Bombyx mori: one gene and its partner. The protein of the gene in region 1 interacts with the protein of each later gene in a pairwise test. Links are inferred from orthologs where the notes say so. Each region holds a gene or a part of one and is shown on either strand. Other genes may lie near its edges.

The links.
Region 2: the proteins of RNA helicase aquarius (region 1) and zinc finger protein 830 interact in a two-hybrid assay, tested with the Homo sapiens proteins (2 studies listed by BioGRID and IntAct, with this or other methods). The link is inferred for Bombyx mori from reciprocal best matches to the Homo sapiens genes AQR and ZNF830.

Annotation. Positions count from the first base shown.
Region 1 is NC_085131.1:6,781,729-6,798,917, forward strand, and holds part of RNA helicase aquarius, read right to left. Parts: intron 14,925-17,189; coding exon 14,689-14,924; intron 13,494-14,688; coding exon 13,276-13,493; intron 12,233-13,275; coding exon 12,063-12,232; intron 10,639-12,062; coding exon 10,507-10,638; intron 5,784-10,506; coding exon 5,646-5,783; intron 5,116-5,645; coding exon 5,024-5,115; intron 4,238-5,023; coding exon 4,039-4,237; intron 1-4,038.
Region 2 is NC_085115.1:6,215,424-6,233,388, forward strand, and holds zinc finger protein 830, read left to right. Parts: upstream 1-6,091; 5' UTR 6,092-6,255; coding exon 6,256-6,718; intron 6,719-8,372; exon of another isoform or gene 8,373-9,496; coding exon 9,497-9,600; exon of another isoform or gene 9,601-9,791; coding exon of another isoform or gene 9,792-10,523; intron 10,524-10,735; coding exon of another isoform or gene 10,736-10,945; exon of another isoform or gene 10,946-11,168; intron 11,169-12,177; coding exon 12,178-12,347; intron 12,348-12,459; coding exon 12,460-12,607; 3' UTR 12,608-12,669; downstream 12,670-17,965. Other genes in the region: tRNA (guanine-N(7)-)-methyltransferase non-catalytic subunit wuho, read right to left, coding at 1-883; ATP-dependent (S)-NAD(P)H-hydrate dehydratase, read right to left, coding at 9,792-10,523, 10,736-10,945; 26S proteasome non-ATPase regulatory subunit 5, read left to right, coding at 13,713-13,894, 14,886-15,030, 15,102-15,323, 15,461-15,713.

The DNA of each region.
Region 1 (17,189 bases):
GGCGGGATTCGAACCCGCAACCCCCTTGTGTAGTGACCATGTCACTTACCACTACACCAGACGGCCGTTAAATGTTGTATGTTAGTTCGTTGTCGTGCGTCAGTTATTCGATAGTTTTGTGAAGTCGTTGTGGCCTAAAGGATAAGACGTCCGGTGCATTCGTATGTAGCGATGCACCGGTGTTCGAATCCCGCAGTCGGGTACAAATTTTTCTAATGAAATACGTACTCAACAAATATTCACGATTGACTTCCACGGTGAAGGAATAACACCGTGTAATAAAAATCAAACCCGCAAAATTATAATTTGCGTAATCACTGGTAGTAGGACCTCTTGGGAGTCCACACGGGTAGGTACCACCACCCCGCCTATTTCCGCCGTGAAGCAGTAATGCGTTTCGGTTCGAAGGGTGGGGCAGCCGTTGTAACTATACTGAGATCTTAGAACTTATATCTCGAGGTGGGTGGCGCATTTACGTTGTAGATGTCTATGGGCTCCAGTAACCACTTAACACCAGGTGGGCTGTGAGCTCGTCCATCTATATAAGCAATAAAAGAAAAACTGATTTAAGCTTTGAACAAACACTTCATAGAATTTTCATATCCTGGTAACCCTAAACGTACGACAGATGCTATGCAATGCGTTTTTAACATACACGTGTGTGTTCAACATTAGCTATAGATGGATTATATCAACCGAATCTTTATTACATTTACAGACCGACGATCATACAGATAATTGAAGTTATACTTCTTTAGGCGCGTTATGATAAATTGATAAGAGTGAAATTTTACGATGCGCGCGCACCGTGACACAAAATTAACAGAAATGAAGTTGCCCACAAGTGCTCCAATACAATTGAGGTTAACCACCCGTATGTATTATTTAGTAATATAAATGACAAAATTATCTAATATATAAAATTCTCGTGTCACAGTTTTCGTTGCCATACTCCTCCGAAACGGCTTGACCGATTTTGATGAAATTTTTTGTGCTTATCCGGTATTTATGAGAATCGGCCAACATCTATTTTTCATCCCCCTAAATGTTAGGAGTAGTCCACCCCTAAATTTTTATTTTTATTTTTTATACAAAATTTTTAATTTATATTTTTTTATGATACAACATACAAAAATACATACAATCCTCAATTTTCACCCTTCTACGATCAACCCTTATTTTTTAATAGCCATTTTAGTAATTTAATCATTTTCTATCCCGCTCGATAACATCAATTATTATCACTTGGTAAGTTATCCCCTCCATGTGTCTACCGGTGTCACTTCTCACCCTGTAAACAGCACGGAGTAGGGATGTTACCTCTACAGTTTTCGGCTATTATTAGTGTTTATGCTTCAAGCGTAGTAGTTAAACATTTTTAGTTCATCGCCTTGCATGTCAGATGAAAAATGTACAAAAAATTTCCCTAAAGATTTCACTAACGATACGATCACAAATGTCAACGGATATCCAATATATCGTCGAAGGAATCCAGATAATGGCAGACAATCATTTATTAAAAACATCAGCAACACAGACATTTATATTGACAATCGTTGGGTCGTGCCATATTCGCCCCTGCTGAGCAAAACATACAATGCTCATATTAATGTTGAGTTCTGCAGTTCTGTGAAGAGCATCAAATACATTTGCAATTATGTCCATAAAGGCAGTGAGATGGCGGTGCTTAGAGTGGAAAATATGAATGTACACACACAAACATTAGCTTGAGGCGTTGAACAGGACATTGAAAGATATTAAAAACAACGACAAACTATTTGGTGGCACTCTGTTAGTCCTTTCAGGTGACTTCAGACAAACACTTCCCGTCAGTCCACATTCAACATACGCTGATGAAATCAACGCCTGTTTAAAATCATCGACATTGTGGCGTAATGTTGAAATAGTACAGCTGAAAGTAAATATGCGCGTTCAAATGCTTCAAGATCCATCCGCTGAAACATTCTCAAAACAACTCTTAGATATCGGCGATGGAAAAGTCACTATAGCTGAAACTGAATACATAAAATTAGCGAATGATTTCTGCACTATCATTGATTCGCAAGATGCTCTCATTGAACAAATATTTCCCGATGTACACACGAATTACATAAATCTCGAGTGGCTTGCAGAAAGAGCAATGTTAGCTGCAAAACATGTGGACGTTGACATTTTAAATCTGAAGATACAACAGTTATTGCCAGGGGACTTGGTATCATATAAATGTATTGATACAGTTTGCGATGACACTGAAGCTGTAAATTTTCCAACAGAGTTTTGAACTCACTGGATTTGCCAGGCATGCCACCACATAACTTACAATTAAAGGTGGTTCAATTAAATTCGAGGTGAAAATATATTGATACCACGACCAAACAATGTCTGTTTGTGGCTTAGATTTGAGCACACTATATTTTTCACACGGACAATTATGCGTTGCATGCTCTCAAGTGGGTAAACCATCAAGTTTGTTTGTATTAGCTAAAGACGGGCTAACAAAAAATATTGTTCACGCTGCAGCATTAAGAGATTAATATTATGTAATGAATTAATTATATATATAACTATTACTTTTAATAAATTAAAACAATTAATGTTTGGTGTTTTGTTATTTTTAAACAACATTCCCTCATCGTTCACAGCGCTCCAGGCCTTTTTCACTCATATTCCACATCCTTATACACTTCAAATAAGTTAGTTTTTTTTTTTCTACACTAGAAATTCTCTAGAAATCTTATATATGGTAAGACAACGTTTGCCGGGTCAGCTAGTTATTTAATATAATTCATACTAAATATTATTAAATTATTAACGTTAAATATTAATTATTAATTATTTAATATTTAAAAAAAGAAGAAGTAAATTTAATAAAAATAAAGTATAACTTCTTACGCGCGTACATAAGTACACGCACCCTTTTTTTCGATTATGAAAAGGATTTAGGTTATTAGGTAAAGGAAAAGGATTTAGGTATTGAGACTACCTTGCATTTTGATTTAATAATTAAATTCGATTGTAAGTGGTCACCGATGCTCATGATCGAAAACAAACTAATGGGCATATCCAAATCAAAACTTAAAATTGTGTCACAACCTAAGCGTCACATAGGTGTAGCGGTGACTTATATAATAGAATTTCAAAATGGTTGACTGACGTCATTTTCAAAATGAATTTTCATTTATTATATAATACAAATTCCGAGAAATATCATTCGAACCGTTGGACTATTGAGCAAAACCAGTCGCGCTGTGGAAATTCACATAAACATGTAATGTCCCACCACCTACGCAGTTCAGTTTAGGCATATGAAAACTTTTAATTGACCAAAAGCAAAATCGTCTTCTTCATATCAAGCGTTGAAATCTGCCGACGAGGTCTGTTATAAAGTGGACTAACCAAAACCGCTCGTCCATCCATCCACTCACGACCCATAGACGAAGCATGTCCCCCAGACCCAACAGACGGAGGGTCATTAAAATGTCGTATGTATTCTTCGAATTAATCATAAACGCATCCGATTTGGATTTAGGGCGTGACTCACGGTGAAGCGTGACTTGTATTCACTGGTTGAACACAAAAACGGAACTATCAAATAGATAATATCGATTTGCAAATAAAGTTTTTTGAACACGTACGTTTGCCTTTCGAAGCGATGGACGTACAGGGCGCGACCATAATACGATAAGTCTTTACACGCTACACGAATATTCAACAATTTGTCGGATTGAATCTATCTTAGGATAGACTAGGGCTCGACGAGTAAATTAACCCTCAGACACAGCCCACTGAGTTTCTTGCCGGATCTTCTCAGTGGGTCGCGTTTCCGATCCGTTGGTAGATTCTGCGAAGCACTGCTCTTGCTAGGGTTCGTGTTAGCATCGTCGTCAGGTGCGAGCCCCGTGAGCTCACCTACTAGTTAAGGTTACGCTGAAATAGCCTCTCAAGGCTCTCAGGTTAAGTAGGAAAAAAAAAGTTAGTACTGGCTTACCTCGGAATCGGGAGTGGAACAGGTTAAATATATGCTTAACGTGAACTGACCTGGAGAAGTCTTTGTCTGTCTGAAGAGCTTCCTCGCCGTGACCGAGACGCAGTAGATGCCTTTCGTCTACATCCAGCTCGGCGACCTTCTCGAATAGCTGATTCAGGGCCTGGTTGCTGTGCGTTACGACCAGGGTACGTTGCCACGGGAAGTTGTGGTATATGTTCGAAATTATTTGAACTGCCACGTCCGTTTTACCTGAAATCAAACACTCGTGGTAACGCATACCAAGACCCTGTAGGGAGGGGAGAGATTACACATCCATCTGCCGCTAAATATTATATTTAATTTTTTTATTTATATATTAGGCACATAATACACATTACAAGCTAAAAAGATACGCAAAAAATAACAACAAGCAAAAGTAAACAAATAATATGCATGCCTGTGTGTGTGTGTCAAATACATGACAGACATGTCTTTTTATTAAAAACTAACTATAATATGATATATTGTTCTTGCAAATTAATAATAATTAATAATATAATGCAAACACATTGTTTTAGTTGACCCTAAGAGCACTAAATTTAGTGTTTAATGAAATGTGTGATGGCAATTCAGGCGAATCTATCAGAGAGTGAATTATTTATTAATTATTTATTTAACGGCCGTCTGGTGTAGTGGTAAGTGACATGGTCACTACACAAGGGGGTCGCGGGTTCGAATCCCGCCAATGGAGGATATTTGTATGATCAATATAAAAACGTCTTTTCCAGAGTTATGGATGTATATTAAATATATGTATGTGTATAATAAAAATATTACATTTATTTCCGTTATCTGGTACCTGTAACAAAAGTTATTTACGAACTCACCACGGGACCAGTTAACGTGGCGTGATTGTTAGTAAATATTTATTTAAAAAGTATAAAAAAAAAAATATATATATATAAACATTTAAATTAGGCAAGACTTAGACACCACCCCCGCCCCCTCAACATAAGGCTTTGAAAACAAAAAGCGTTTTTCAAGAACATTATTTACCAGTTCCAGGTGGACCGACGACCAATGTGAGTCCAGGTTGCATTCCAGAACGTATAGCTTCCACTTGTGTCGGAGTGAATAGTATATTATTCCTGTACAAATAAAGGGATATTATTAGATCGTTTGTTTCGGAGCTGTCGAGACTTACGACAGACTACTAAAGCAGGTTGCGTCAACATCTTCATTACTGGTGGTAGGACCTCTTGTGAGTCCGCACGGATAGGTACCACCGCCCTGCCTATTTCTGCCGTGGAGTAGTAATGCGTTTCGGTTTGAAGGCTGGGGCAACCGTTGTAACTATACTGAGACCTTATTAGAACTTATATCTCAAGGTGGGTGGCGCATTTACGTCGTAGATGTCTACGGGTTCCAGTAACTATTTAGCACCAGGTGGGCTGTGAGCTGGTCCACCCATCTAAACAAAAAAAAAAGAATCATAAGGTTGGATTCTCATACTGTATTGTTTCTCTTGTGGCCTTGAGCTCTACTGTAAGCTCTTTAAAAAATATATTATAATTTACGTTTTTTTTTGTAATCCTGTAAACAGGCCTTTGTCTTTCTTTATTAGCTTAGCCATCTAAGCAATAAAAAAAAAACAAAATAAGAAAATATCGATACTCACTTCTTTGGTTCGTTGTACAAATACGGTCCCCTCTTCGGTTGTACGTGGGGTTCGACAATGATCGCTTTGCGGGGTTCGTCTTCGTCCATAGCTGCGTCCCCGACCTGCTGCTTCCGTACGACGTTTTCGAAAGTCAACCTAAACGGGTAATTTATACGAATCATTTTAATATGTACAACTTCGCCTTAGGGTCACCGCTGCACGCCGCAGTCATAACCACAAAACGCCGCCACTGGCATATTTCCTGTAATTTTCATACATTTTATATGGACTCGCCGCACACGGATGACGCCGGTGACCGCTACACGCTACATATAAAATGTGTGAAAATTACAAGAAATATTCCGGTGGCGGCTTTTTGTGATTGCGGCTGGTGGCCCGTGTGCGGCGACCCTTAATCGATCATCGTTGATTTCCATGTCCAAACACACATTAAAAGTTTAGACATAATATGACATAGTCCCCTCTGTAGAACTTGTATAGTAGCATATGGAAAAACAGTGCCATCAGAATTTCAGACTACCGGATAAAATACATTGATGCTCTAAGAACGTTGGCAACACCAACAGGCCTTAGAATCGAGATCCTACAGTGACAGATTTTAGAGTTACCCGCACGCAAGATAAACAAAAGTTAGTCAAAATGCTGAAAACAATCCATAAAGAATTTCAATAAGAATTATATTGAAACTACTTAACCGGTTTAATCATTTAGCGCGTTGTTATTATCACTAGTGGACCCCGCGGTCGTCGAAATTCTACTATAATTAATTAAAATTATAAGTTTGTACACTATTATGATTCTACTGTCAAAGACTATTTACTTCTATAATCACAGATTTCGTCAAGACTACACTTTAGACAAATATTAATAAAGACAAACAATGTTTAATCTATTCTCAATTTGACCATAGACTATGAGCAATAAGATTTTTTTTACAGTAAACAAATAATATGCATGCTTGTGTGTGTAATGTTTTTCTTATTGAGTTAATGTATTTTTATGCATAATTTAAAAAAAAATTAACATTCTACTGCACTACTTCTCTATATTCTCATATAAGTGTGGGAAAGGGGATTGCCCACTCTCCATAGTGTGCTAGGCCCAAGATGGACATCAAATATTACTATAAAAATGTACTGATTCAAATTCTTAAATGTATTGGATATCTAAAAAATATATTGAAATTGACGCCACTATTATAAAAAATACAATAAAAATAAAAACTCGTTTTGAGGTTAATTTTCTATATAAATAAGTGTCGGATTGTGAGATACTTCAAGAACTTTTCTTTTCTTAATGTTTAAGATGTTCCTAATGTATTTTTATCCAATAGGGTATAAAAACACACTTAATTCTTTAAATATCTATATTTTCTTCATCTTCATACACAATTAGTATCATCTAAAAATAGCAAAGGAGAGCATATACACGGTTTTAAATCTCGGTCAGGGTAAAACCACAATTCACACAATGTTTTTAGTCGTAGTATGAAACGTTATTGATAAAAGTATAATAAATCGAAGAAAAATCAAAACACATCCATTTTGTACGCAAGCACAACACCACAAGCAGCAAGCGAAGTGTCAGTCAGTCAGATTAAATTCAGTGTTGTCAGTATAAAGAAAAATAATTACATGAAATTCATATATCGATTATTTTTTTAAATAACCGATAATTGATTTATATCTTAATATTTTTTTTACGAGTACACATTATTTTTTATGTTTTTGTTTTAGTTGTACATATTTAAATAACAATACTAGTAAAGTTTTTTTTATTGCTTAGATGGGTGGGCGAGCTCACAGCCACCCTGGTGTTGCTAAGTGGTTACTCGAACCCACATACATCTACAACGTAAATGCGCCACCCACCTTGAGATATAAGTTCTAAGGTCTCAAGTATAGTTACAAGTTAAAGTCCAATGGGTATGTCTTAGATGTTATTTTATGTGCATAAAATCCATTAAAATCGTTTGATTAATGATAATACAGTCAAAATCTGTTATAACGACATCGAAGGGACTGCTCATATTCAGTCGTAAAAACCGATAGTCGTAACAACCGGTGATGTTTAATGTGTATCGTGCAAGTACAAACAAATCGATAGGGAATTATTGGAATAATATATTTATACAATACGCGATTTTTCTTCAATATTAATTTGTTTTATTTTTCTTTGCGCCATTTTGAAAGTTTCACGAATAACTCCACAAAGTTTTGGTGCGTCTCGTGTATAGATAAGTAACAAATAGTGAAGAGATATGAAGAAGCGGGCTTTGACTACCGCATGCACGTGTTTTGTTTCTAAGAATTAGAAAAGACCCTACACTAAACTAAATCCTATTGTTTTCTTTCCTGATTTTAAAAGCCATTGAAGACAAATGTGGATACCTATTCAAATTGTTTACAATACAGCTTAGCCGGTCGTTCTAACAGATCTAATTCTCCGAAATATTAGTTAAATGTGGTCGTTTTATGAGGTATGTCGTTATTACCAATGTCGTAGAAAGCAATATTTTTAATAAGGCGGTCATATGGCATTCAGCCGGGACCTTTGTTCTTGGTTATTATAACCGGCATGTTGTATTAAACGATGTCGCAGTAAACGGTTTTGACTGTACTTAAAATGATTTATTTATATGTTTTATTTATATACTCAAAATATTTACTTCATACGTAAAAGGATTTGAAGCTGGCAATATTTTTCCCGCAAAAATAAAAATCCTTGTTTTTTCAATAGAGTTACTTTTTTTAAACTACTTATTGTAAACTATAGTGGCGCTTATTTGCAAGAAAATAAATGCATATTTATTTATGACAAAATTAATGCACTAAGTATTTTTTCTATAATCTATTGTCCGCTTTGGGCCTAAAATGGGCCATCCCCTTTCATACTCCGTATGCGTCCGCGCAATTTTCGTAAGAAGGGGTACAAAGTTTTTGCTTCACGTACTAATATATAGATTATGTAGATATATCGTGTCTACATATTTATGTCTACGACTCTGAAAACTTAATATGCTTTTGTTAATTATTTTTATTAAATAATTTTAAAGTTATATTTCCATAGACAACTTGAGATATTAAATCTGAATTGTGTAATATGCTTCGTTGCTTCGTGGCAGAATCAGTCCAACACTCATATAAATATTAGCCTATCCATTAGGTACATGTGTTTTCTACATGGATACCAAGTTTCAAGTCAATCGGATGCACGGTTCAGTAGTTATAACGGAACAACCATAAAAACCCCGCCCCTGCCTATTTCTGCTTACTGGTGGTAGGACCTCTTGTGAGTCCGCACGGGTAGGTACCACCGCGCCTGCCTATTTCTGCCGTGAAGCAGTAATGCGTTTCGGTTTGAAGGGCGGGGCAGCCGTTGTAACTATAGTTGAGCCCTTAGAACTTATATCTCAAGGTGGGTGGCGCATTTACGTTGTGGATGTCTATGGGCTCCAGTAACCACTTAACATCAGGTGGGCTGTGAGCTCGTCCACCAATCTAAGCAATAAAAAAAAAACTTTATATATTAGTATAGATATAGATTACTTATTTGTATAGCGATAACGGAAGCATCGTGATTCCAAAAGATCAAAACGAGGTATGAAAATGAATCTCTAATGCCCATGTTTATTCTCAGTATTACAATGACGTCACGCCCGAAGAAGCACGTGACATTGACACATAACGTTTCTATTGTTTGCGGTTCAACGAATGCGCGGGACTTGAACAACGACTAGACTTTGGCCATTGCATAAACGAGTGGACGAGATCCCGACCCGTCTAGTGTTAAATAATCAAGGTCGTCAAGTCGCTAATCCCGCCACTCAAGGGCAAGGAGTAGTATCAAACTCCGGCCGCTACTCACAAAGGGACGCCAAACTGGTGGTAGGACCTCTTGTGAGTCCGCGCGGGTGGGTACCACCACCCTGCCTATTTCTGCCGTGAAGCAGTAATGCGTTTCGGTTTGAAGGGTGGGGCAGCCGTTGTAACTATACCTGAGACCTTAGAACTTATATCTCAAGGTGGGTGGCGCATTTACGTTGTGGAAGTCTATGGGCTCCAGTAACCACTAAACATCAGGTGGGCTGTGAGCTCGTCCACCCATCTAAGCAATAAAAAAAAAAAAAAATGATCCACAAAACAACTTGTAACTATACTTGAGACCTTAGAACTTATATCTCAAGGTGGGTGGCGCATTTACGGTGTAGATGTCTATGGGCTCCAGTAGCTACTTAACACCAGGTGGACTGTGAGTTCGTCGAACCATCTAAGCAACAAACAAAATATGGTGTATATATTTTTTTGTTATTCCCTTAGTCGTGTTGCATTTTATTTGCACACACAAATATTAACATAACAGATTCAAAATGATTTCTACCGACACCGTTATTACAATGAGCGGTTTCCTTATTTGATAACGAATTTTTCGCGTGCATTTATGAAAAGAACTCATAGAAAAAGTGACTTACAAGGGACACGATAAAGGTTCATTATTCATTTGTGGTTATGTGGACCCACCCGTCTTAAGTCAGAAAATCTGTTTCCTTTTTGTTTTTAAACAAAAAAAAAATATTGTGGACCGTATGAAACTACTTGAAGACATACAAACAAAAAAGGCCTATAAAAGGACTCCTCACACCCCTGGTGTGAGGAGTCCAACACTCATATAAATATTAGCCTATCCATCAGGTACATGTATTTTCTACATGGATACCAAGTTTCAAGTCAATCGGATGCGTGGTTCAGTAGTTATAACGGAACATCCGTAAAAACCACAGTAGATTTATATATTAGTATAGATATAGTTATATTAGTATAGATTTAGGATGCACTCTGCAAGTAAATTCTGAACTTACTTGAACGGCCTGACGAGCTTCCTTGGGTCGTTGGTCTGCACCTTGATTTCGTACCCCGGGAAGCTGTTCCGCAGATGATCCATGTTCAGGAATGTATCGTTGAAGTCCAGAGTAGCTATCTCGTTCGGCATCCTGTGGGAGTACACTGCGGTCACGAATTTCATACCGATAAATGGGACCAGACCTCTAGTGAGTCCGCGCGGGTAGGTACCACCACCCCGCCATGCGTTTCGGTTTGAAGGGTGGGGCAGCCGTTGTAACTATACCGAGACATTATCAGGTGGGCCGTATGCTCGTCTGCCTACATGGGCAATAAATAAAAAAGATACCAGCATTCTCTTAGTATTATACCAGCGTACTGCAATTTTAAATCAGCATATATGTATACTGATAAGGCGTATTTGAAAGCCTGCACGGTTAGGTACCAAAATTCAGGTCTTTTCTGCCACGAAGCAGTTATGCGATTGAGTCTTCGACCTCATGTCTCAAGGCGGATGGCGGCATCTTGTGATGCCTATAAGATGCCTATAGGTTGTGAGCACTCATTGAATGCTAATAGATCGTAAGATTTTCTTCTCATCTACATTAATATAATATGAAATTACATACATATTAAACGACGCATATGTACATATATTACCTACACTCAATACACGATAAAAGTAATTGTATCTAATTGACGTACATACGCTTCATCAGATCGCGTGGTTTTCTGGGAATTCAACAAGATAAATTCTGACGCATCATGACGAATTCTATTTTAAGATTTTTACTTTTAGTTTTTAACAAACAGTGCGAATGTCAATTTCTTGGACACTGTTAAATCCATTTCACAGTGTCAAAGAAATGTAGGTATCAATGTCTCAATATGAAGACATTTTAAGATAAGTTTATATAATATAGTAGATAAGTAAAGAGTGGAAAGTTATCGTTGTAAGGGGAATATATGCAGTAAGAGGATGCTCGTGTGGCCAAAAAGACCTTGGGTATAAAAGTAGACGGTAATATTCTGACGTCATCGAGTCAATAACTAGTCGGAACTATCTTACAGAGCGTTTAACGAAACAACACTCTCCTCAACGCATAAAGCAATTGTTATCACTCCTTTGGTACAAATAAAACTATTTATAAACCTAACAATTTAAAACTCAATGAAACGGAAAAGCGACACTGAAAAGAGACAAACATATATCTATACGATTTAGCATGCGAGAGAATGAGATAGAAACACTTCGGAAGGTTTCGCTTCTATGGCGCGTGAATTTTAGACGTGTTTTTTTTTTCAATCCATCTTCAGTTTGATTCGCAGACTCACGCTTCCCATGACCATGATACTACCAAGATAATAGAGATACGATTCCGATCGTGTAGTAGATTCATTCGCGAAGCTATTGCTCTTGAGTTGTTAGGTCTCCTTCGGAGGCGCTCGGGCAGTTGTTAGCAAATCCCACCCCTCCTGGCTGAGCCTTTGCTCGGCCACCTCACCTGGTGAAACTGGAAAGGCCTCCGGGCCACCAGTAATCTTTCAATCATATATAAAAAAAATATATACGAACCTCGTGTAATGAGCTTGACCGGGATCTCCGTAGCCCAAGACTATATCGTGAAGCCAGTCCGGTACAACGCATTCGGTGTTCATTAATTCTCGTATCGTTTCCAATACGGCCTTGAAGTTGTTCTCTTTCGGTTTACGACGCATAACTATATTGAAAGTCTCGTACACGTCCTGCGATAATCGTTTTAAAATAACGTCACCGATTTATTATATCGGTTTAATAAATCGGTGACGCTTTCGCGCCTTAACCAATAAATCGCGCATCACTAAGCACATACACGTACGTTGTCAGGGGTACATAAAAAGGACGCCTTTCATTCAAAAAGACAGTGCTGTTCCTGTTAGATATATGTAGACGTTACCAGATTCACGTAAAAGCTTTCATATTACTTTAAATCAATTATTTATTGGAATTTAAACGGTTACCAGTAACCAAATACATCACGCTTTGAATAATGACATCCACGATGAGTGAAGTCTCAATTATAATTGAAGACTTGAGTGGATGAAGGGGTTAAGTACCATTTTTAAGAATTTTGAGTTTTTACATTGAATGAAGGCGTTATGTGTCTATAAACCATATTAGAACTTAAAACTCCGGGTTTAGACGCTTTTTTTAGAAATTGCATGTTATGAAGGAGTTATGTTCGAATAAAAAGTACAAGTACCTAACAAAAATTTGATGCCCGTTTTCGCAAAATTATCAAATTATATCATATCCCCTTCATCCACTCATGTCCTCAATTCACGGCGGCTTTGTGGCGGAAATAGACTAGACGGTGTTACCATGCGACAATACGCCCCAACAACAGGTCAGATCCATGTGAGTTCACCTAGTCATTCGGCAAATCTAGTATGACCCCTCGGGGTCACTAGAGTATAAAAAAAAAACGCCACAACATTATCGTGCATTTTTTTAATTGATTTCATTTTATTAGCCCCGTTATTCTTTCATCTTGTATTCATTAGCGAACATGTAGTAAGTGCGTATTTCGTTAGAAAAATTAGTACCTACATGCGGGATTTGAACACCGGTATTATCGCATCGCTCGATACGAGTACACTAGGCGCCTTATCTTTTAGGCTACGACCACTATTTACTTGCGATCATCCGTCTCTTCTAGAAGGTCCCCACGATTGGGTCCCAGTAGATGCGAACAGGAGTTTGGTACAAAACCCAAAATAGAGTCCTGAACAATAATTGTTATAGTTACCTCATTCCCTTTACTAGCTCTGTCCAAGTCAAGTCTGTATTGGTTAGGATCGAGTAAGAGCCTGAAGGTCCTGGAATCTCCCTCTAACTCCGGCCGCGGTTCCGGCCCGTCCTCAATGACTCTGCCGGATGCGTCCAGCATACCTTCAACTTCGCAACCCCTCACGTACACTATCCCCGCCTGATCCACCATACTCTTTCTGTAGTCATACTTTGTACCTATAAGAATTTTCAAATCTGAAGCTGAATATGTCTATATAGTAGAGAGAACTATCTTATAACAATATGATATCAACGACTGATGTAATTTCAAATCAATCGGACGAATAATACGCAAACAGAAAAAAACGTGTTTTATTCTTTCTTCTTCTTCCTTTCCTTGTCCTACTTTAGGTGGGGTTGGGTCTTCTAATTCGTCTACACTGGGAATTTCTATCCTGTGTTGTCATGCTGTCAAGTCGGACCTCATTCAGAGGTCGGGATATATTGTTCCGCAATGTCCCCTTGCCTTTTTCAGACAGCTCCATTGCTTGGTGAACGGCATAGTCATTATGCGTACGCATCACTTATCCTTACTATCTATGACGAATCTCTGAGAGTTTTTGAGCAATTGGAGCAACAATTTCCTCGTATGTGCTTCACGTTTTATTTCACGTGTATTACTCAGTGAGATAATTTAAATTTTATTTCTTACAACGAATCGGATCGATTCTAGGAATGTCGATGGTCGGGACGTAAAAAACAGAAGCGCACTTGAATTTCAAAAACAGATGCCTCGAATTTATTATGGGAAAGACCTTGATTCCGTTCTAAGTCGGTGAGTCCCGACACCACATCATAGAAATTGGGGAAACCCAAACGTCGGGGCGCCGTGATAGTCGTCTAAATATTTCGGAGAGCATTTCTTGGCACAAATAGACAACATAAATACAATTATATCACAACAGCATAAAAAACAAATTTAAAAGTAACGTAAGCAGTCTATCAGAACACGATATTTTCTCAAAATCATCTATACTATAATATTCTAAAGCTGAAGAGTTTGTTTGTTTGAACGCGCTAATCTCAGAAACTACTGGTCCGATTTGAAAAACTATTTCAGTAATAGATAACTCATTTATTGAGGAAGGCTAGGCTATATAACATCACGGCAAGACAAGTGGCGCACCAATAAATAATGTTTCAAAATAGGGGTTTAAATAGCTCCTTAACATTCTATAATTCAAAAATATTTTCACTTTCTACGTAAATGAAGTGGGGGTAGAATTTAGCGTTATGCCAAAGTAACTATTCCACGCGGACGGAGTCGCGGGCAAAAGCTAGTATACGATAAAATCTTGACAAAAATGAACTAAATAAATTGCAGACGAATTTATTGTATTCGCAAACTTAATGGTTCTTAAAGTTACCTTACCTATGCCTTGTGTAGGTCTGACGGTTACCAGGAAGCAAACGTCATGCTTCCTGAGGTTTTCCCATTCGTGTTTTATCTCGTTTCTGAGGCTCAACGTGACGGTGACATCGGCTCGGACCCTCGACGGGGCCTTCTCGCCGATGTTCGGTTTGGCCACTTCGACAACTGCGAAGCTCTTTATAGGATGCGCCATCCGCGCCCAGCCCCCAAAATAAACGCTTCCGTCTTCTGAATTCCTGGTAGAATAAGGAAACATTTTGAGCTTTTACGCTTATTTAGATCATGAGACTCCTCCCAACATCCTAGCCACAGTCTACCCGTGACCGGGGCCCCTTCAACGGGCTAAACGGAAATATCGATTAGGTATTCATTAAAATTAAGAACCCGCTGAATAATAAATAGTAGGTACATACAAAGCATGAGGGATTTCGGTTTTATGAAAACAATCGATCTATTTAGTTTCGTTATTGTTGTTCGTTTTAGTCAAACTGCCACACTGTGTTTCGCACCTTTACGGTAAGATCCTGGTAATAGTATTGTTTTTTCGTAAGTGACCACGATCCTAACACCTGCTCACGACATTATCGATGAAATTTTACCTTTCATCAAAATATACTAGGTATAGTAAAGTAGGATATCTGTGTTTTTTTTTATTCCTAGATAGGTGGACCTGCTCACAACCCACCTGATGTTAAGTGGTTACCAGAGCCCATAGACATAATATATATAGCGTAAATGCCGGCAGCCACCTTGAGATATGAGTTCTAAGGTCTCAGTATAGTTACGACGGCTGCCCCACCCTTCAAACTGAAACGCATTACTGCTTTACGGCAGAAAAAGGCAGTGTGCTGGTTGGTACCTACCCGTGCGGACTCACAAGACGCTCTACCATCAGTAATTACGCAAATTATAATTTTGCGGGATTTATTTGGAATGAAATCTAAACTCTATAATCACGTAGTTATCTAATAGAGTCTATAAGCGTTGTTTCGTTTTAAGGTGATGTACTTGATTGCAATAATACACAATTATTCTGCAACACACGATGGTTAAAACACAATTACGTATTCCCGTAAAATCTTTGATAATACGATCCTTTACCCGACACTGATTACGGTCAGAGTTATAAACGTCTTGGCGTGGTCACGCCTAGATATGAGTAAGCGCTTGGGTAGGTTTGGGTACTGTTTATTCGCGGGTTTAATGCATATTTCGTTCACTTGTGTATGAGTCTATTTATTTTTGCACGGCACGTGCATGTTACAATGTTTCTATTGTGTGTTCGCCAAAATAACTATGATACTATTTCTGTTTTTTTTTTATAGCAGTCCATGGGAACATAGCGTGAAAGCCGCTACTGACTTTGAAACATAGCTTCAAGTATCAGTTGTATAGTATCGGCTGCCTCACCTTACAAGCCGGAATGCCTGACGGCAGAAATTGACCGGTGGGTGCAAGGGCGGATCCAGCTTTGGCGCCAGGAGGGGGTCACATAGTCAAATTTAGATGCGTTCGTTCTCAAACGTTTGCCATTATACAAAGTAATTATATTATATTAAATTAATTAAATATTAAAGGTATGTAGTTACATAAAATCTGTATGGTGACAAAATATATAAATAAAATCATTATATTCAATTAGTGGTCCACCTAAGTCCCTGGACCCAGCTCAGGGGGTGGTCATGACCCCCATGACCCTCCCCCTGGATCCGTCATTGGGTGGGTGTTGGCAACTCCAACATTTTAGTATGGAAAATAAAATTATATGACTGGCAACATTGATGATGTCAGTCTCTTCCTTTTTTTTACTTTTCACCGCAAGCGGACGTGTTTATCATATAAATAAAATATCAAGTGTATAAACATACAAATAAACCGTATTGCAGCACAAAGCACAAATTTTCTTTATCATCAGCAACTGGTTCATACAGCCCGCAACAAAACAGTGGATGCTGTTTACTTTTTTTTTTTTTTTTTTTTTTATGATTGAAACATTACTGGTGGCCCAGAGGCCTTTCCAGCTTCACCAGGACAGGTGGGCGAGCAAAGGCTCAGCCAGGAGGGGGGGAATTTGCTAACAACTGCCCGAGCGCCTCCGAAGGAGACCTAACAACTCAAGAGCAATTGCTTCGCGAATGAATCTACTACCGGATCGGAATCGCGACCCACTGAGAAGATCCGGCGAGAAACTCAGCGGGCTGATGCATGGGTTAGGTTGCACGTCGACCTCTTTGTCGAGTTCGACGAGTACGGTTACCGGGGTTCCTCAGCCTGCTCCTAGTGTTAGAGCTGAAGGTATCTAATGCAAGAGTTATTGGATCTGATGGATCCGTAAGGACGTGTCTAGGGCGACGACGGTGACTTGCTCCTGCGTGATCAGGATTCGGGGAGTAATCAGCGGCGGCAACGATAAGGCGATTATCATGACGCATAGCCTTATCGAAGTAACGTTCCGACACTAACTTCATATGTTTGCGGATCGATTCGAGGCCCAGGTCGTC
Region 2 (17,965 bases), on another chromosome or scaffold:
AAAATAGTAAAGATGATGGCAATTTTTCTACCTTTAACTTATATTCTAATTTATGGCTAAACCCGTGGAAATCATCTAAATTTAAATTGTAAATAAATACAATATTCAAACCATGAAGAGCAATAGCTATTAGAGTTACATGTTTATTAACTTTGGTTACTGCAAAAGCAACAATTGGCAAAGATTTGATTTCAACACCCTCTGAATCCATTTGTTTTATGAATACTTCTTTTAAATTTTCATCATCAATTATATCATTTGTATCAATTGTGTGGCATAATTGTCCTTTAACATAGTCCCACAGTTTTACAGTTCCATCACCTGAAGTACTTATCAAATAATTATAATTATTAGGTAAGATTTCAATATTTTTTACAAATTCTTTATGGCCTAAACAGTATGTTTCAATATTGTATGTGTTAGGATAGCAAGATATCCTAATTTTTTCATCTCTGTCGCATGTGATTATATATTTTTCATCAATAGTTTGCAATATATCCAAAAGAATGCTTAAATGCCCCAGCAATTTTATACCAGATTTTCCTTCATCTTCTAGATTATACAACAAAGCATCACCAGATTTATCTGCTACTAAAATGTGTTTGTTATTCTGAGTAAATCTTATTTTACTGGCACTTCTTGGTAGGATTATCTTTTTGAGAATTTCAAGACATGATGAAAACACTACCAAATTTTTCGATATTGATGTAATTACCGCTATGTATTTCTGATCACCCGAAACGGTAATATCTACGATGCAATCATTCTCGGTCTCTTCCGATGTTGATAATGTTATTATTTTATGTGTATGATAATCATAATAATCTAGAAGTAAATTTCTTGCGGCAACTATAAAGTTATCGTTTACTGAAAAACAAGTCATAATTTTATTATAACTCCTATGTACTTTATTACTTTACTTACTTTTAATAGCAAACTTTAGCAAAGTAAGATTTTTAGGCTAAAAAACTTTTTTTAATTTATTAATTTTTAGATTGACATAGGGAACATAGTTCATACTACCTACTTCGTAATAAATGTCAAAGCCATGTCTGTTGTATGAAAAATTACATGAAACGGGATGAAATTTGAAATATTATTGATTTTGGAGATAAAATTACCTAATAAAGAGAGATATAATATGACAATATCATAGGTATAGGATGTGATAAAATGAAAAACCTTTCAGTAAATGTTGTTTGTTTATTGAAAGTTCAAAGGACTTTTTGGAAGCCACGTTCAGCCATTTTGATAAATTTGTTAATAATATATTTTCACAGGTACTAATAAAGTTAATTATGATTAAGGTACCAGTATTAGACACTTACAGCTGAAAAAACACAAAATCACAACATAAAACAAATTACCTTCGTTACGTGCTAAAATTGACTAGATATTTGTTTTTTTTTATGTTTGGAAATTGGATAAGTGCGTTGCCATTTTCGCGTTCCTAAATATCTTCAATTATCAAATATCTACATTTTCTGTTATAGGAAAAATGATATGCTATAAGCTAAATGATTAATCATATGAATTGAAATGAGATGCAGTTGATTAATATGAGACTTCAGTCAATTAGGATAAAATTAGATTAAACGAGATGAGGTGGGATGAAATAAATTCGCAGTAAAATGCTGGTTATCTACCGAGACTTTTCCAGTGGACTTTTTGAAGCCATATTTAAGCACTTTCACAGATACTAAATAGATAATAAATCTGAAAAAACCTAAACCACGACAAAATTTAACTATTTATACAGCTTGGTGCCTCACGCTCCCGCCAAAAAGTTCGGAAGCAGATTTGATTATGATTTTCGTATGCTGTACATTGTCAATGTCACTGTGGTGTCATTCCATAGTAGACCTATATAGTAGGGACACGACATAGACCTATATAGTAGGGACACGACATATTGTTCTATACGTACAATTGCTTATATAAATAGCACCCATTTTGAAGGCACATACATAAACATATATCTATCTCGTTCTTACTCAGCACTTTAACTCGCAGGAAAACAATATAACAGTATTTCAGTGCGTACATAAAATGAAACATGAATATACGTAAATATCTCCGTCTCCGTCTAATTAGGCCGAAAATCCGCCATGTTTAGCGCGCCAAATGTCATTGTCACGTCAGTTCGGCCGTCTGTTTTGGGTTGTACATTATTTATTGACTTTGATATCGATTTAATATGATTGATTATATAAAATTTCATAATTTATCATGCTTAAAACATACAAAAATAATAATTAAAACGTATTTTATAGGATCTCAAGAAAGTCGATGTCCTAAAACTATTATCTATATGTATTTAAATTCATTATGGAGCCCTCATCCGAAAAATCCATTTTCGGTCGGAATCTATTGATCATGACACTAATCATAAATACCACTTTAAAATATGTCATCAAAACATATTTAGACATTCTGTTTAGATATTTCGGGAAAAAGGCTACCGACAAAATATCTTCGGAACTATTTAAATAAAATAGTTTTATTCCGCAGTGAGTAAAACACTATTGTAAATTTGTTAAATATTTAATAATTAAGTGATTTTAGAGAGGAAGTCACAAGGAATGACGTTTTTAATTAATGAATAAATGTTCTGTAGGTGTTTTTTTTTTCACGCGGTCCCTTGATAAGTTTAAAATTTGAATCACTCTCAAGCGAAAGTGATTCAAATGGTGCGGCGCACCTTCCTTGGGGTGCGCTGCGGTAGTATGTTACGGACTTTAGAGTCAGCAAAACAATTAAAATAGATTGTAATAGTCTAAGAAAAACACGTACTCAAAATACGATAACATTTAGCATGCTAGAAATGGGCTGATGGCTTTGAACTACGCCATATCTTTATGTTTTGCGACAAACGACAACTTTATAAAATCAGTGTAGCAACTTTTAAAAATCATCATATCGTTTACTTGGCAAATTCGAAGGACGAACTTGTCTTAGATTTCACCCATCTAAATCATATCATATTTGCACATAACAATATACCTACTTACTTCCCATTAAAGTATAAATTCTACAAATAAATAATACTCAACAATATTTAAAATAAAATGAGCCAAGAACGTTTATCGATAAAACCTGATAACATTGAAATCTTTTGTACAGCACTAAAGCCGCCATGTTTTGTGGCCAGATGACGTCACAGTGGCACGAAATTTTTGTTGACGTTTCATTTCCATAGGTTTCCTACTTCATTGGGACACGACATATTGTTCTATACGTACAATTGCTTATATAAATAGCACCCATTTTGAAGGCACATACATAAACATATATCTATCTCGTTCTTACTCAGCACTTTAACTCGCAGGAAAACAATATAACAGTATTTCAGTGCGTACATAAAATGAAACATGAATATACGTAAATATCTCCGTCTCCGTCTAATGAGGCCGAAAATCCGCCATGTTTAGCGCGCCAAATGTCATTGTCACGTCAGTTCGGCCGTCTGTTTTGGGTTGTACATTATTTATTGACTATGATATCGATTTAATATGATTGATTATATAAAATTTCATAATTTATCATGCTTAAAACATACAAAAATAATAATTAAAACGTATTTTATAGGATCTCAAGAAAGTCGATGTCCTAAAACTATTATCTATATGTATTTAAATTCATTATGGAGCCCTCATCCGAAAAATCCATTTTTCGGTCGGAATCTATTGATCATGACAGTAATCATAAATACCTCTTTAAAATATGTCATCAAAACATATTTAGACATTCTGTTTAAATATTTCGGGAAAAAGGCTACCGACAAAATCTCTTCGGAACTATTTAAATAAAATAGTTTTATTCCGCAGTGAGTAAAACACTATTGTAAATTCGTTAAATATTTAATAATTAAGTGATTTTAGAGAGGAAGTCACAAGGAATGACGTTTGTAATTAATGAATAAATGTTCTGTAGGTGTTTTTTTTTTCACGCGGTCACTTGATAAGTTTGAAATTTGAATCACTCTCAAGTGAAAGTGATTCAAATGGTGCGGCGCACCTTCCTTGAGGTGCGCTGCGGTAGTGTGTTACGGACTTTAGAGTCAGCAAAACAATTAAAATAGATTGTAATAGTCTAAGAAAAATAACATTTAGCATGCTAGAAATGGGCAGATGGCACTGTACTACGCCATATCTTTATGTTTTGTGACAAACGACAACTTTATAAAATCAGTGTAAAATCAGTGGCAAATTCGAAGGACGAACTTGTCTTAGATTTCACACATCTAAATCATATCATATTTGCACATAACAATATACCTACTTACTTCCCATTAAAGTATTAATTCTACAAATAAATAATACTCAACAATATTTAAAATAAAATGAGCCAAGAACGTTTATCGATAAAACCTGATAACATTGAAATCTTTTGTACAGCACTAAAACCGCCATGTTTTGTGGTCAGATGACGTCACAGTGGCACGAATGTTTTGTTGACGTTTCATTTCCATAGGTTTCCTACATAGACCTATTTTCCTACTTCAGTGGAGTATGTACCGTACAATGGGGTAAATAGGGACAAAATCGACCTTCAGATTGAATTTTAAAATAGTTCCAATTAAATAGTCACTGCTCAACCAAAGAAATAAGTTGAGTCTTGAACGTACCTAGGTGATAAAAACGGTTACATAATTTTAATTATTCATTTTAAAGAAATAATCGGTAAAATAATGGCCGTCCCAATTTACCCAGCGTCCGGGGTAAATTGACACGGTTAAGGGTTAAATTGGGATATTTGTAAGGGTTGTCAACTCGCAGTACTGCGATATATAGGTAGGTGCCATATAATTATTTATATGGACCGAAATGATGAATACAATCCATAATTTAAGCACAATACACAACATAGTGTAAATGAAGCTGGTTTCTATTCCGAAGCGATGTGACGTGAATGATAATCAACAATACAATGATCAAAAAAAGTATGTGCATGTTATATTTTAGAAAATTATTATTTAATTTCCTTAAAAATCACAACTCTGAAACAAAATGATAAAATAGAATAAAAAATAGAAAACAAAAGGACTGGAAATGCAATAATACAATTTTATTTAATCAACATTTTCAAAATAATCTTTGAGCAAGAGTAAGATCAGGTGAATAAGATAAAAAAACAGCTTTATCTGATTACTGCCAATTATAACAAAAATAAAAGAAATTCTTTCTAAGCTAAATAACTAAACTCAATTAATTCACTCACTCATAATTGGATATCCCGGATTTTTAATTAATGTTACATTTAAAATCTGAGGCCTGTTTTTATTTGTGTGTGCGTTTTGAATGTTAACAAAATCATGATTCGACGCGTGAATAGATTCTGAAATAACAAAAGTTTTGATTCGTTTGAGTTCTTTTAACTTTTAATTTTTTTTATTGCTATAAAGAACATACGACCGGGCAGATATTACAAGGTAAATGTCGCGAAAAAAAAGTAATTATATATATACTTTTCTTTTACCTATAATACTTACATAAACTAACTGATAAACACATTAACCTTCTTTACATCACGCAATTAAGTGATAGGGCTAAAAAATCTATTATAAGATATCAGTGACAACCCTAACAAGCCATCCCTATTTTGTCTTTTGGCGTTCCAATTTTGTGTTTTCTCGTCCCTAATTATTCCAATCTCGTTCCCAATTACCCTACATACGTCCCAATTTTCCCCAAAAAGAAAGGAAAAAATATACATTTTTTATTTTGTCGAAATATTGTATTTAAAATAAGAATATTGCAACTTACCGTTTGTTGTGGTATTTCCAGGTGTATTAAAAACTTATATAAACTGTGATCTTATTGAAAAAACAACGATAATATTACTTTTTTTAAAAGTTCTTTAAGCTGTTTTAAAACGCACTTTTCAACCACTATTTTCAATTTAATTTGACGAATTTTTGGGACCAACTTAACTCATATTTAGTACTTCCATAGTTAACTTGGTTTTTCTTCTATACATTGATAAATATTAACATAAACAAAATTAGGTAGATTCCATGCTACAGGTACTTTGAGAATCTTCCGCAGGTTTGTCCCAATTTACCCCAGGATCCCAATTTACCCCATGTCATGGTACATACATAATTATATAAACTAGATAATAGATTTAAACACATAATATAATGTAGATGTATTACAGTGATTGTGCCTATTAGCTGAGAAAAATTGGTGTATTATTGTGTGATTCCGTTGATGGTATTAGTTTATAAAACAATTTAGCGTTACACAAACGAACATGGCACTCAGGTTGCAAATCGAAAAGAAGAAAGCTCAAGAAGAAATGCGTCGTTTGATGGCAGAAAGGAAGAAGAAGGATGTCAAACGAGTAAAGTTAGATCATCCTCTCGCAAGATATAATAATGTGGGACATCTCACTTGTTTGCTTTGCACTTCCGTCGTGAGATCGGAAAATGTTTGGCAAGTACATCTCAATAGTAAACAACATCGAGAAAATATTGAAAATGCTAAGAAACTAAAGGAACTGACGAATAATTTCACTGTAGTCAACAAAGTTAAACACAAGAGTTCCAGTCCTCCAAAAGATGCACCTCCCGAAAAAAAGATAAAAGGAATATTAAAAAATGTAGGCACCGTGCCAGTGATAACAAAACCCAAAAATGATGTCCCAAGTGTGGTAGAATTTCACAATGAAGAAATTAAAAGAACTCCACTTAATCCTGTTGTAATAACAGAAAAAGGTTAGTCCTAAATGATTTAACTAGAGTACTTGAAATCTCATAATGAAAAAATTCTGTTGTATTACATTTTAAAAATAGTTCTGAGTTTTGATTTGTTTAGCTTGATTATACATAGATAATTATGAAATACAAACTTTCCATATGTTTTTCAACACTATTCTCACGTTAAACTAACAACTAGTTTAATCTTAAATAGATTTGTTTACCAAGCATATTCTTTAAAGTGCTATATTCTTTAAAATAGAATGATTTTGAGGAATTCCCTAAAATTATTCTATCTATTTGTTCATTTCATTCTGTGAATCTAGACTGAGAGGCTGTAGGAGTTTGAACTTTTCCTGAGATAAATATTAAATGAATTTATCAAAACTATGATTTCTTCAATTTTTAACTATCAATAACAATTAAAGTGACAAATAATTTTCCACTTTAAACAAAGGTATTTAAAATGAAACTTATCCACAATTTTTTCTACCCCTTTTTTCAGTGCATACATTTTGTTTTTAAGCTCTACTTACCTATAAACTATTTTTATACAAAAAACTACTTTTGATACCTAAGTTTATCTATAAACAGCTATAAACAACCAACTATAAACAGGTTGATATCAGAATGACAACTTGCTTAGTCAATGGTATATTAAAAGTGACTAGAATTGGTTACATTGTTGTATGAATTTGTTTTGAGCGACAACTGAAAGGGGAAAGGTCTTAGGGTGAACTGCTGAACAAAAATACTGCATAGAGTTAATTTTTTATGTCTTTTTTATTGCTCATCTGGTGTTAAGTCGTTACCAGAGCCCATATACATCTACAACATAAATAAGACCCAGCCCCCTAGAGACCTGAGTTATAAGGCCTCAGTACCACAGTTGTCCCACCTTTCAAATCAAATAATTACTGCTTTACTAAGCAGTAATTATCTTGTGAGTCCGCACTGATATGTACTCATATCAGTGCGGACTCACAAGATGTCCTACTACCAGTAATTACACAAATCATAATTTTGTCTGTTTTATTTTTATTACACCGTGTTATTGTTTCACTATGAAAGTCAATTATGAACTTTTGCTAAGTATGTATTTCATTATATACCTTCTTCTTCTGTTTGATTTTGGCTCGCGCGGCTTGCGCCTTTCATTATATACCTGCATGTAGGATTCAAACTCCGGGACACTGGCATCATTTTATACAAATGCACATGTGTATAAAATGATGCTTATACATTTTATACTAATACAAATGTCGTACCCTGCAGGCCCTATCTTCGAATTTGCGATTCTGATGATTTGACTGTATAAGTAAAGCTGTATAATCTAGTTGATTTTAAAATCTTTTCTCAGCTTGACTTTATATAACCTCCTTGAGGTAGTATTCTGGTTTTTTTTTCTTTCATATTTATAGAAAAGCAGGTTCTCAATTTGAGGATTTTTTTTCGGGGCAGGTATTATTATTTTCTCACCATTTTTGCCCACTGAGTTTCTCGCTGGATCTTCTCAATGGGTCGCAATTCCGATCCAATGGTAGATTCAATGAAGTACTGTTCTTGCTAGGGCTGGTGTCAGCAAATTCTCTCAGGGTTAGTGAGTAAGCTCACCTACCCGTTCGGGAATAGCTGAATAGCCTGTTAGAGTATCAGCGAACAGAAAAAACTATTTTTGTTTCTCCTTAGTTTTATTGAGAAAATAACAAATTTAATATTTACTCACAAAGCTACCATACCATCACCTGATGGTATTACACACCTATTCCTGATGAGAAGCACAATTTTTTCCAGTTTATAAGATTGAGGCAGCTATCACAATTGAGGCTTAGTGAGCTTGTTCACCTGCTTATACAATTTAAAAAAGTAGAATATGATATTTTAAATGTCAGTCAAAATTGTCTAATTTTATGATAAAAATGTACTATGGATGAACTCATCAGCTGTAGTGAATAGTAGTAGGTAGAATGTAAAAACAGGGCAGTATCTTGACCAAGTTTTTTTTTCCCTACCTAAGCTGATAGCCTTGAGAGGCTATATCAGTGTAACCTTAACTAGTAGTTGAGCTCACGGGGCTCAAACCTGACGACGTTGCTAACACGAACCCTAGCACGAGCCGTGCTTCGCAGAATCTACCACTGGATCGGACACGCGACCCACTGAAAAAATCCAGCGAGAAACTCAGTGGGCTGTGTCTGAGGGTTAATTTACTCGTCGAGCCCTTCGTCGCAAGCGACGGTTTCGATGAGAACGGTGACCAGTGCTTGAGGTATCTAAAAGCACTGTTAGTGGATCGGGAGGATCCGAAATGACGTGTTTGGGGCGACGTCGACTGCTTTCCATTCTGTCCGCAGGATCGGGAATGTAGTTACCGACGGCCACGATGCGAGGGTTCTCGTGTCGTGCCGCTTTGGCGAAGTGGCACATTGACGCCGACTGTAGATACTTACTGATGGACTCTAAAGTCCAGGTCGTTATGGAATTCAACGTTCCTGACGAACCACAGAGCTTCAACCGCTATCCTGCAAAAACGGGATTGAATGATTTGGAATGATTTTAAGTTAGTGCGGGCCGCGTGAGCGAACACTACACTTGCATAGGTAGTGACGGGGCGTATGCAAGTTTTGTAGAGTGTCACCTTATTTCTAAGGGACATTTTACTTCGCCTGCATATCATTGGGTACTTCTCTGTAGTGCAAACCACAGACATAAGTCTTCTCTTTAGAAATATAATTTCTAAAAATGATTCTCAGAGTGAGATGATAGCCAACAGTATATCATAGTATTATGTTTCAGTTAATGAACCTGTACAGACTACAGATCAAAAAGAAAAAGAGGAACCTGCAAGTGATGTACCAATACCAGAAGGTTTTTTTGATGACCCAGTTTTAGATGCAAAGGTAACAGATATTAGATGTTATAAAATATCAACTAACATATTACTTCATAACTCTTCTGCTTTTTAAACACAGCACATAATTTAGTTAATTTGAGTAAAAAACATTACATATTATACATTATTAATATATACATACATGATAATTTCATTAAACCATTATTTCACAATCACTATCCTTATAGAAACTAAACATTACTGGTCATATAATTCTTCAAAAGCATCATGTATAAATTCTATCATATCAGTAGCTAACATACTTCGACCTTTTAATTTAAAAGCCTTTTCATTGCACTTTCTTACTAAAATACATGCAGCATAACAAGACAAAGAAGCTGCTAACATTTTATTATTAGATATATCTGGTATTTTAATTTTATCAATATTAGCGAGAGTCCAATGCATGAATGTAGCTATAGTTCCAGATAATAAATCACCCTGTCCTCCACACCTCCGTCCAGATCCCCCAGTCTCCAATGACCAAGTGAACTCAGGAAATGGACTTATTAATTCATCATTGGGCCCTTTTTTTAATATAGTAACATTTTTCCCCATTGTCTGTACATCTATTTTATTACTTAGTCGTTCAAATTCTATTTTGTTAGGGGTTAATATTACTGGTGAATCAAAATCTTTAATTAAGTTTGGTTTTTCTGTTATTAAAAACAAACCATCAGCATCAATGATAATGGGTATTTTCTTTTGCTTGATGACTTCTATTAATTTTGCTATTATATCAAATGTTTGCCAATCTCTTCCTAATCCAGGGCCAATAACTATAGAATGGAGTCTGTCAAACCATGGTAATATTTCCTCAACAGCATCTTGCTTATCTAGTAGTGGATGCACTATTAATTCTGGGCTATATGATTTAATTACTGCAGAAGCAACTGAAGAACAAAATATATGTGCCAAGTCTGCACCTACCTGCAATTTTAACAAATATGTTCTTTATTATCAATATTCGTTTTAAATTACACTGGATGTTTTCATATTCAGAGTAACACATAACTTTTGGTTGAGTATCATGATTAATGAATAATTTCTTTTCCTAGAATGTGGATGTATTTATGTTTATGAAATTTTGTTTATTGTATGAGTCTTACCTAACAAAAACGGAATACTGAATAATTACTAACTTTGAGTGAGCTAATCCCCGCAAAATAAGGTGCACCAGTATATTCTAAAGAACCACCAATTACCCCTATTCTTCCGGCTTGCCCTTTATGACTACTTTTATCCAGAGGTGGTATGCATATTTTAATAAGGTTTTTCATACTTGTAGGATCCATGTTGTATCTATGTCTAATAAGAGAAAAACTTTTCAACAAAATTAAATTTGTTTTCATTGAAAGACCTTAAAATCTTACGCTTCGAACGATACTGCTTTATTTTTAAACTTGTGAAAGAATCATATGAAACGTATGCCACTTTCGTCAAAGTTAACAAACTATCATTTTATTAAGTTAAACCTCGTAAAATACTGTAGTATAGTACATAGAAATCGCAAAAAATACCGTAATAACATTATCAAATTACCATGACACACTGAGAATGTTTTTTTAAGGGATTTTATGACCTGGTAACTAAGACCTTTAGGTCAAGTCTTATTTTAATTTTAATGAAAACTTTTTTTATATGAAAAATAATATATGGGATGAAATATAATCTCAGTAAAATGGTGGTCATTTACTGAGAATTTTTCAGTGGACTTTATGGAAGATCGTCGTGGCCTAAAGGATAAGACGTCCGGTGCATTCGTGTTGAGCGATGCACCGGTGTTCGAATATCAGGTCAGTACCAATTTTTCTAATGAAATACGTACTCAACAAATGTTCACGATTTACTTCTACGGTGAAGGAACAACATAGTGTAATAAAAATCAAACCCGCAAAATTATAATTTGCGTAATTACTAGTGGTAGGGCGAGTCCGCACTGGTAGGTACCACCACCCTGTCTATTTCTGCCGTGAAGCAGTAATGCGTTTCGGTTTGAAGGGTGGGGCAGCCGTTGTAACTATACTGAGACCTTAGAACTTATATCTCAAGGTGGGTGGCGGATTTACGTTGCAGGTGTCTATGGGCTCCAGTAACCACTAAACACCAGGTGGGCTGTGAGCTCGTGCACCCATACAAGCGATAAAAAAAGATCATACCGATACAAATTTCATTGCTTTCACGCTACGTTACGATGATGACCGGCACCGACATAATTGTATATGGGAACAGTTTATTGATCCATATGGGTTGCAAATACTTGCAGTACTAAACTGAATTGATTTTGTTTGTATTTTAATGAGAAAAAATATTTATTCACTAAATGTAATCATCTAAGTCACACTCGGTAATAAGCCAGGTAGGTCCCACTTATTTCTGCGGTGTATCGGTTATGCGCTCCAGTTCGAACGATTTTTCAATGAAATTGAGATTTCTACATCATATCTTAATGTGGATGACGACATACACGTTGTGATATCTATGCTAAACTCCAACACAAAGTGTGATGTTCGCTGCTTGTTCGCTCGTCTACGTAAGAGAAAATTCGTTATGCTTATTTTGAAAATTGTTTATTTTATTTTAGGTTCGTAAGATTGAATATAAAGATCCAATTGAAGAGGAATGGGAAAAATTCAGAAAAGAAATAAAAGAAGAAACTAGTGCATCAGCTGAAATTATAGCAGGTGAACAAGAAGAAGCCACTGCAGAGCGACAAATAGAAGAAATCGACGAACAAATTAGAAAATGGTCCCGGTACGATAAAAACAACTCTGAAATTTTACTTTTAAATACCTAAAATTTTATTAAATTAAATAATTTTAAATTATTCAACATAGTAATGAACTTAATTTCCTTTTTTTTACAGAGTCCTGGATTTGGAATTACAAAAAGAAGAGACGAAAAAGAAAATACACGAAATGGACCAAATGAGCTTAGACGAAAATTGTGAATCAGAAAACGAAGATGATATAGACGAATTTTTAGATTGGAGGTCTAAAAAATCGTTTACGTAACAAAAAGTTTTTTCTGTTGATATGTGTTATTAAAATACTTTACTATAATGAGCTACATAAAAGTTCTTTTATTACGATTTACCCTAATCTTTATCTAAATTATTTTATATTTTGATATTTTTTTATTTTTATTGCTTAGATGGGTGGATGAGCTCACAGCCCACCTGGTGTTAAGTGGTTACTGGAGCCCATAGATATCTATAACCTAAATGCGCCACCCACCTTGAGATATTAGTTCTAAGATCTCAGTATAGTTAGTGTTAGTTTCAGAAAGTGAGATCACCCAAAACCAGTTCGGGTTCATACCTGGTCGCGGGACAACGGACGCCATATTTGTACTTCGCCAAGTGTGCGAAAAATACCATGACGTGCACAGGAATCTGCCTAGGGTGTTCGTTGATCTGGAAAAAGCGTACGGCCTTTTTTTCCTAGTAGGTGAGCTCACGGGGCTCAAACCTGACGACGTTCCTAAAACGAACCCTAGCAAGAGCCGTGCTTCGTAGAATCTACCACCGGATCGGAAACGCGACCCACTGCGAAGATCCGGCGAGAAACCCAGTGGGCTGTGTCTGAGGGTTAATTTACTCGTCAAGCCCTTCGTCGAAAGCGACGGGTTCGACGAGAACGGTGACCTGTGCTTGAAGTACCTAAAATCACCGTTAGTGGATCGGGAGGATCCGAAATGACGTGTTTTGGGCGATGTCGACTGCTTTCCATTCTTTCCGCAGGATTGGGGATGTAGTTACCGGCGGCCACGATGAGAGGGTTCTCGTGTCGTGCCGCTTTACCGAAGTGGCGCATCGACGCCTAATGACTTAAAAGTCTTAGTTACCAGATCAGAAAATCCCTTAAAAAAATAATACCCAAATAAACACACACATTTAGACAGGCGACTTGCAGTTTTTGTCTTGTAAACATAAATGAAAAGTACCGTATGTACCTCAAGTTCTAATTAAATAAAAAATTTAATATTGGAAACACAAACATAAACCAAAGTATATTTGAAAATTTAATCTTTTTTTAGGAAACATATTATTATCTACTTTATTTGGGAAACTCGTTTCTTGATTATAAAAATAGTAAATAGTCAATTACTGAAAAAATCATGGATGCTGAAGTTGCAGAACAGCTTAGAGATCTAATTACTAGATTACAAACTGATGAAGACATACCAAGTGCTATGAATCAGCTTAAAACGTTATTAGTTTCCGCACCAACTGAAATTTCTGAAACTATCCTAGAGGTAGGATTATCCAAAATACTCCAATGCTTCAACATTTTTGATAGGTATGTAAATTTCAGTTGGAATAGTATATCCTTTATAAATTGTTATTACGCCATTATTCTCATTAACCGAGAAGGGTAGACGAGGTATTGCTCGCCCTATATTATAAAGGAATTACTGGAGCCACCTTAACCTTAACTTGAATGACTTCGCTAAAATGCCTCATGAGGTGTATTACTTAGCAGAGCGCAATAGCGCTAATTCCACTTTCTGTGACCGCCACTAACTATTCTCGAGATTTGGTTCATGCACAAGCTAGCCACCGTCAACGCTCTAGACACGTCCTAATGGATCTACGCGATCCACTCTCAAGCACTTCGAGAACCTACTCATAGCTGCATCCAAACAACAGGTCATCATAGTCATTGAATTGGTTGAAGAGTTCAATGTGAAACCTAGCTAATACAATCGGCCCAAAAGTTTTGCTAAATCTTCTCAATGGGTTCCAATTCTAGTTGTAAATTCCTTTATGAAGCAGCTGTTCTTAGGTTTTTTTGGAGGTTTTTGGGCGGCTAATAGCAAATCCCACACCTCTTGGCTGAACCATACTCACCCATCTATTCTAGTGGAGATGAAAGGCCACTAGCAATCCTTCCATCTCAACAAAATGTCAGCATTTTAGAACTCTTTAAAGTTATCATTTATTCAGGAAGATCTACAGCAAATGCAACTTTGTTTTTTATTTCTATCTCATGTAACAAAGATTTGATTGAGGTAACAATAAAAAGTTTAAGGCTAATGAGCTAATGGGTGAATTGCTGTTTAGTGGTTATTGAAGCCCATAGATATCACAAAAGTGAACCCATTTTGAGACACAAATTTAACCTCTCAATTGATTGTATAATAGCTGCCCCATCATTCAAACTGAAGCCCATTATTGTTCAGTGAGAGAAATAGGCAGGATGGTAGTGAGAGTTTACAATATCCCCAACCACCAAACAAATTGGACAAATTTGTGAATATTAGAGACTTCATTTATTCATTATTTTTCAGACACCTAGTTGATTTAATATGTGAAGTGCTCACACTGTGTTTTGAAAAATTTTCACCTGGAGAAGTGATTAAGAGTTTTACAGGTAACTTCATGTATTTGCTACGACATGAAAATGCACATGTTCGTAGACTTGCTGTAGATGAGGTAAGTGTTACTTTCTAAAGATGTATTGGTATGATAAAGCATTCATAAAACTGTATACTTTATTTATACAGATTGCTAAAGCAGTGATATCAAGCTCCAATGCCCTCCCAATACCACAGTATATTGATGTGTATGTAGCTGTTGGTCAGCTTGTTGGTGATAATGATATAGGCGTTGCTAACAAAGCTATATTGATTACATCAAATTTGCCAGAAGAGGCTTATACAAAAGTTTTGGAAGAAATGAAAATTCTTTTAAAATGTTCTTCTAGTAGCAAATGTAATGTTTTTGAGGTAAACCATGTCTTTTAAATTTTTAGTTGTTCTCTAAACTTTTATAAAATTACTAGATTTAATATTGAATTCATAAATTTATCATACTAAGAATATTATGTTATTCCAATTAAATCATATTAAAAATTAATTTACAGGTGATAATTAACATTTCCATTAAATCTTATGATTTGTTCAAAATTTGTCTTGAGCTGGGTTACATAGATATCATGGTGCAAGAAATCCAATCTCTTGATGTACTGTACCAATTAAATATTTTGGAACTCATGTCAACCTTGGCAATCAAACCATACGGTATTAATTACCTACTCAATAGTGGAGCAATGGATAAATTGGTAACAGTTGTTATTGACTTGAAAACTTCACCTGTTGGTGGAATATTGATACCAGGTAATAATGATTTAATATTAAAATAAGAAGACTATTGATAATATGGTATCAGCTAATGCTAACTACTGCTATTCCAATGTCAATTTGGCAACAATATACCACCTTACAACAAGTAGTCTCTGTTTTATGTAGACACTTTTGTCTTCTTTCTTAAAACAGGCATTACTCAAGTGATATCAGATATGTTGTTAGTATCAAACACTGTATGATTGTAATCCAGTGAAAATTGGTGGACACTCCTGTGGGTTGAAATACCCCATTAATGTCTATCACAATCACATCCATGCAGGACCTGTTCAGAACAGACTGTAATGCTCTCAAAATATTCCCGTCCTGCGGACAGAATGGAAGGCAGTCGACGTTGCCCCAAACACGTCATTTCGGATCCTCCCGACCCACTAATGGTGCTTCTAAGTACCTCAAGCACTGGTCATCGTCCTCGTCAAACCCGTCGCTTGCGACGAAGGGCTCGACGAGTAAATTTACCCTCAGACACAGCCCACTGAGTTTTTTGCCGGATCTTCTCAGTGGGTCGCGTTTCCGATCCGGTGCTAGATTCTGCGAAGCACGGCTCTTGCTAGGGTTCGTGTTAGCAACGTCATCAGGTTTGAGCCCCGTGAGCTCACCTACTGGTTAAGGCGACGCTGATATAGCCCCTCAAGGCTACCAGCTTAGGTAGGAAAAAAAAAGCTCTCAAAAATGTTAACTATGACTCATTGTCTATCAACTAGAATAAATAAATCTAGAATAAATAAATTATAAACAATTTCAGCAGCAGTTTAATGCACGCCTATTTTTTAATAGAGGCCATATGCACCATATAACTGCAGTTACTCATTTGGGCGTTGGCACTAACTTTCTCAATTGTAATAGTAAACCAGCTATCGTATTGTGCTCAAGCTGGGACTTATTGCTTTGTGGTAGACATAAGTAGGGTACTGGTAACCATGGGCTTGCTACCTATCCTACTTCCATTACTTTAGATAGGAAGTAAAATTGATATTTGAGGAAAATATTTCCAGGTGGATGAATAGAAAATAGTAGACAGTTGTGATGAGTCAGAGTCATGAGTCAGACAATTGTGATTAATCACTGTTTTACAAGCATTAGCTATGTATGTATATAATTATTAATAGGTATAAATAGACAAAGAAGCACAGTAGCAAACGTAACAATGATTTTAAGATAGCCATGAAGGACTTTCAAGTCTTCTGGCATGTTAGTAGTCAACTTCAGTCAGTAGTGTACAAATTGTATATAAATGACACACTGGCTAGTGAAAATTAAGTCATAACTCGCAAAGATTAAGATTTCGTTTTTACTGATGACAGGCAGGGCGTCTTGTGGGATTAAATAGATACCAACACCATTCTTCGAGAAGTAACACGTTCTGGTTTATTTCTTCAAAAAAGCGACACGTTTACCCTTTTATCATAGCTGGCTCAAATGACATAGGTACTCGACCCAGACGACGGGGCAACGATCAGCCGCCGTCGCCTTATACAAGCTATTTCGGATCCTCCCGATTCATTCTCGGTCTTTTTAGACATTGCAAGCACCAGTCACCATTCTCGTCGAACTCGTTCGATGCGACGAAGAGTTCGACGCGCAACCGAACGCTCAGATACACACTAAGTTTCTCGCCATATCTTCTCAGTGGGTCGTGGTTCTGATCCGGTTTTTGATTCAGCAAAGCACTGGTCTTGTAAAGGCAGATGTTAGCAAATCTTCTCAGGCTGATCTTCCTGAGCTGGTTTGAAGGGAGGGACAAGCGTTATGCAATTCACCGTGAGGTCGTTCACTTGTCTTCGTGATTTAAATTCATGTCCTACCCATTAGGTCATACCTTATTAAGACTTTAATATAATATTTTCCATAGGGTTTCCCGCACAGGTTCTTCGCTTTGTGCGTCAACAATCTTCAACGTCAATTCGTTTTTCCTTTACCAATCTACTATCGTAAATAATACCTTTCATTGATATCGTCTTATGCGCACGTCTTCTTACGTTGATTTTTAATTACTATCGTAGGAAGGCGAGCCTACGGCTTACTTCATGTTGAGTGGTTGCGGTTGCTTACGGCGCAGCAAGTTTAAGGAGTATCAGTGCAACCAACCCTATTAGTAGATTCTTAGTCGTAATTTTCAAGTGCTCAGTGACAGAATAATTTGGATAGTAAAGCCAAGGTGGCATCTAAACTTACTATTTAGCACTGAATTATTCATGAAAATTGTTATATACTTAACGGCCAAA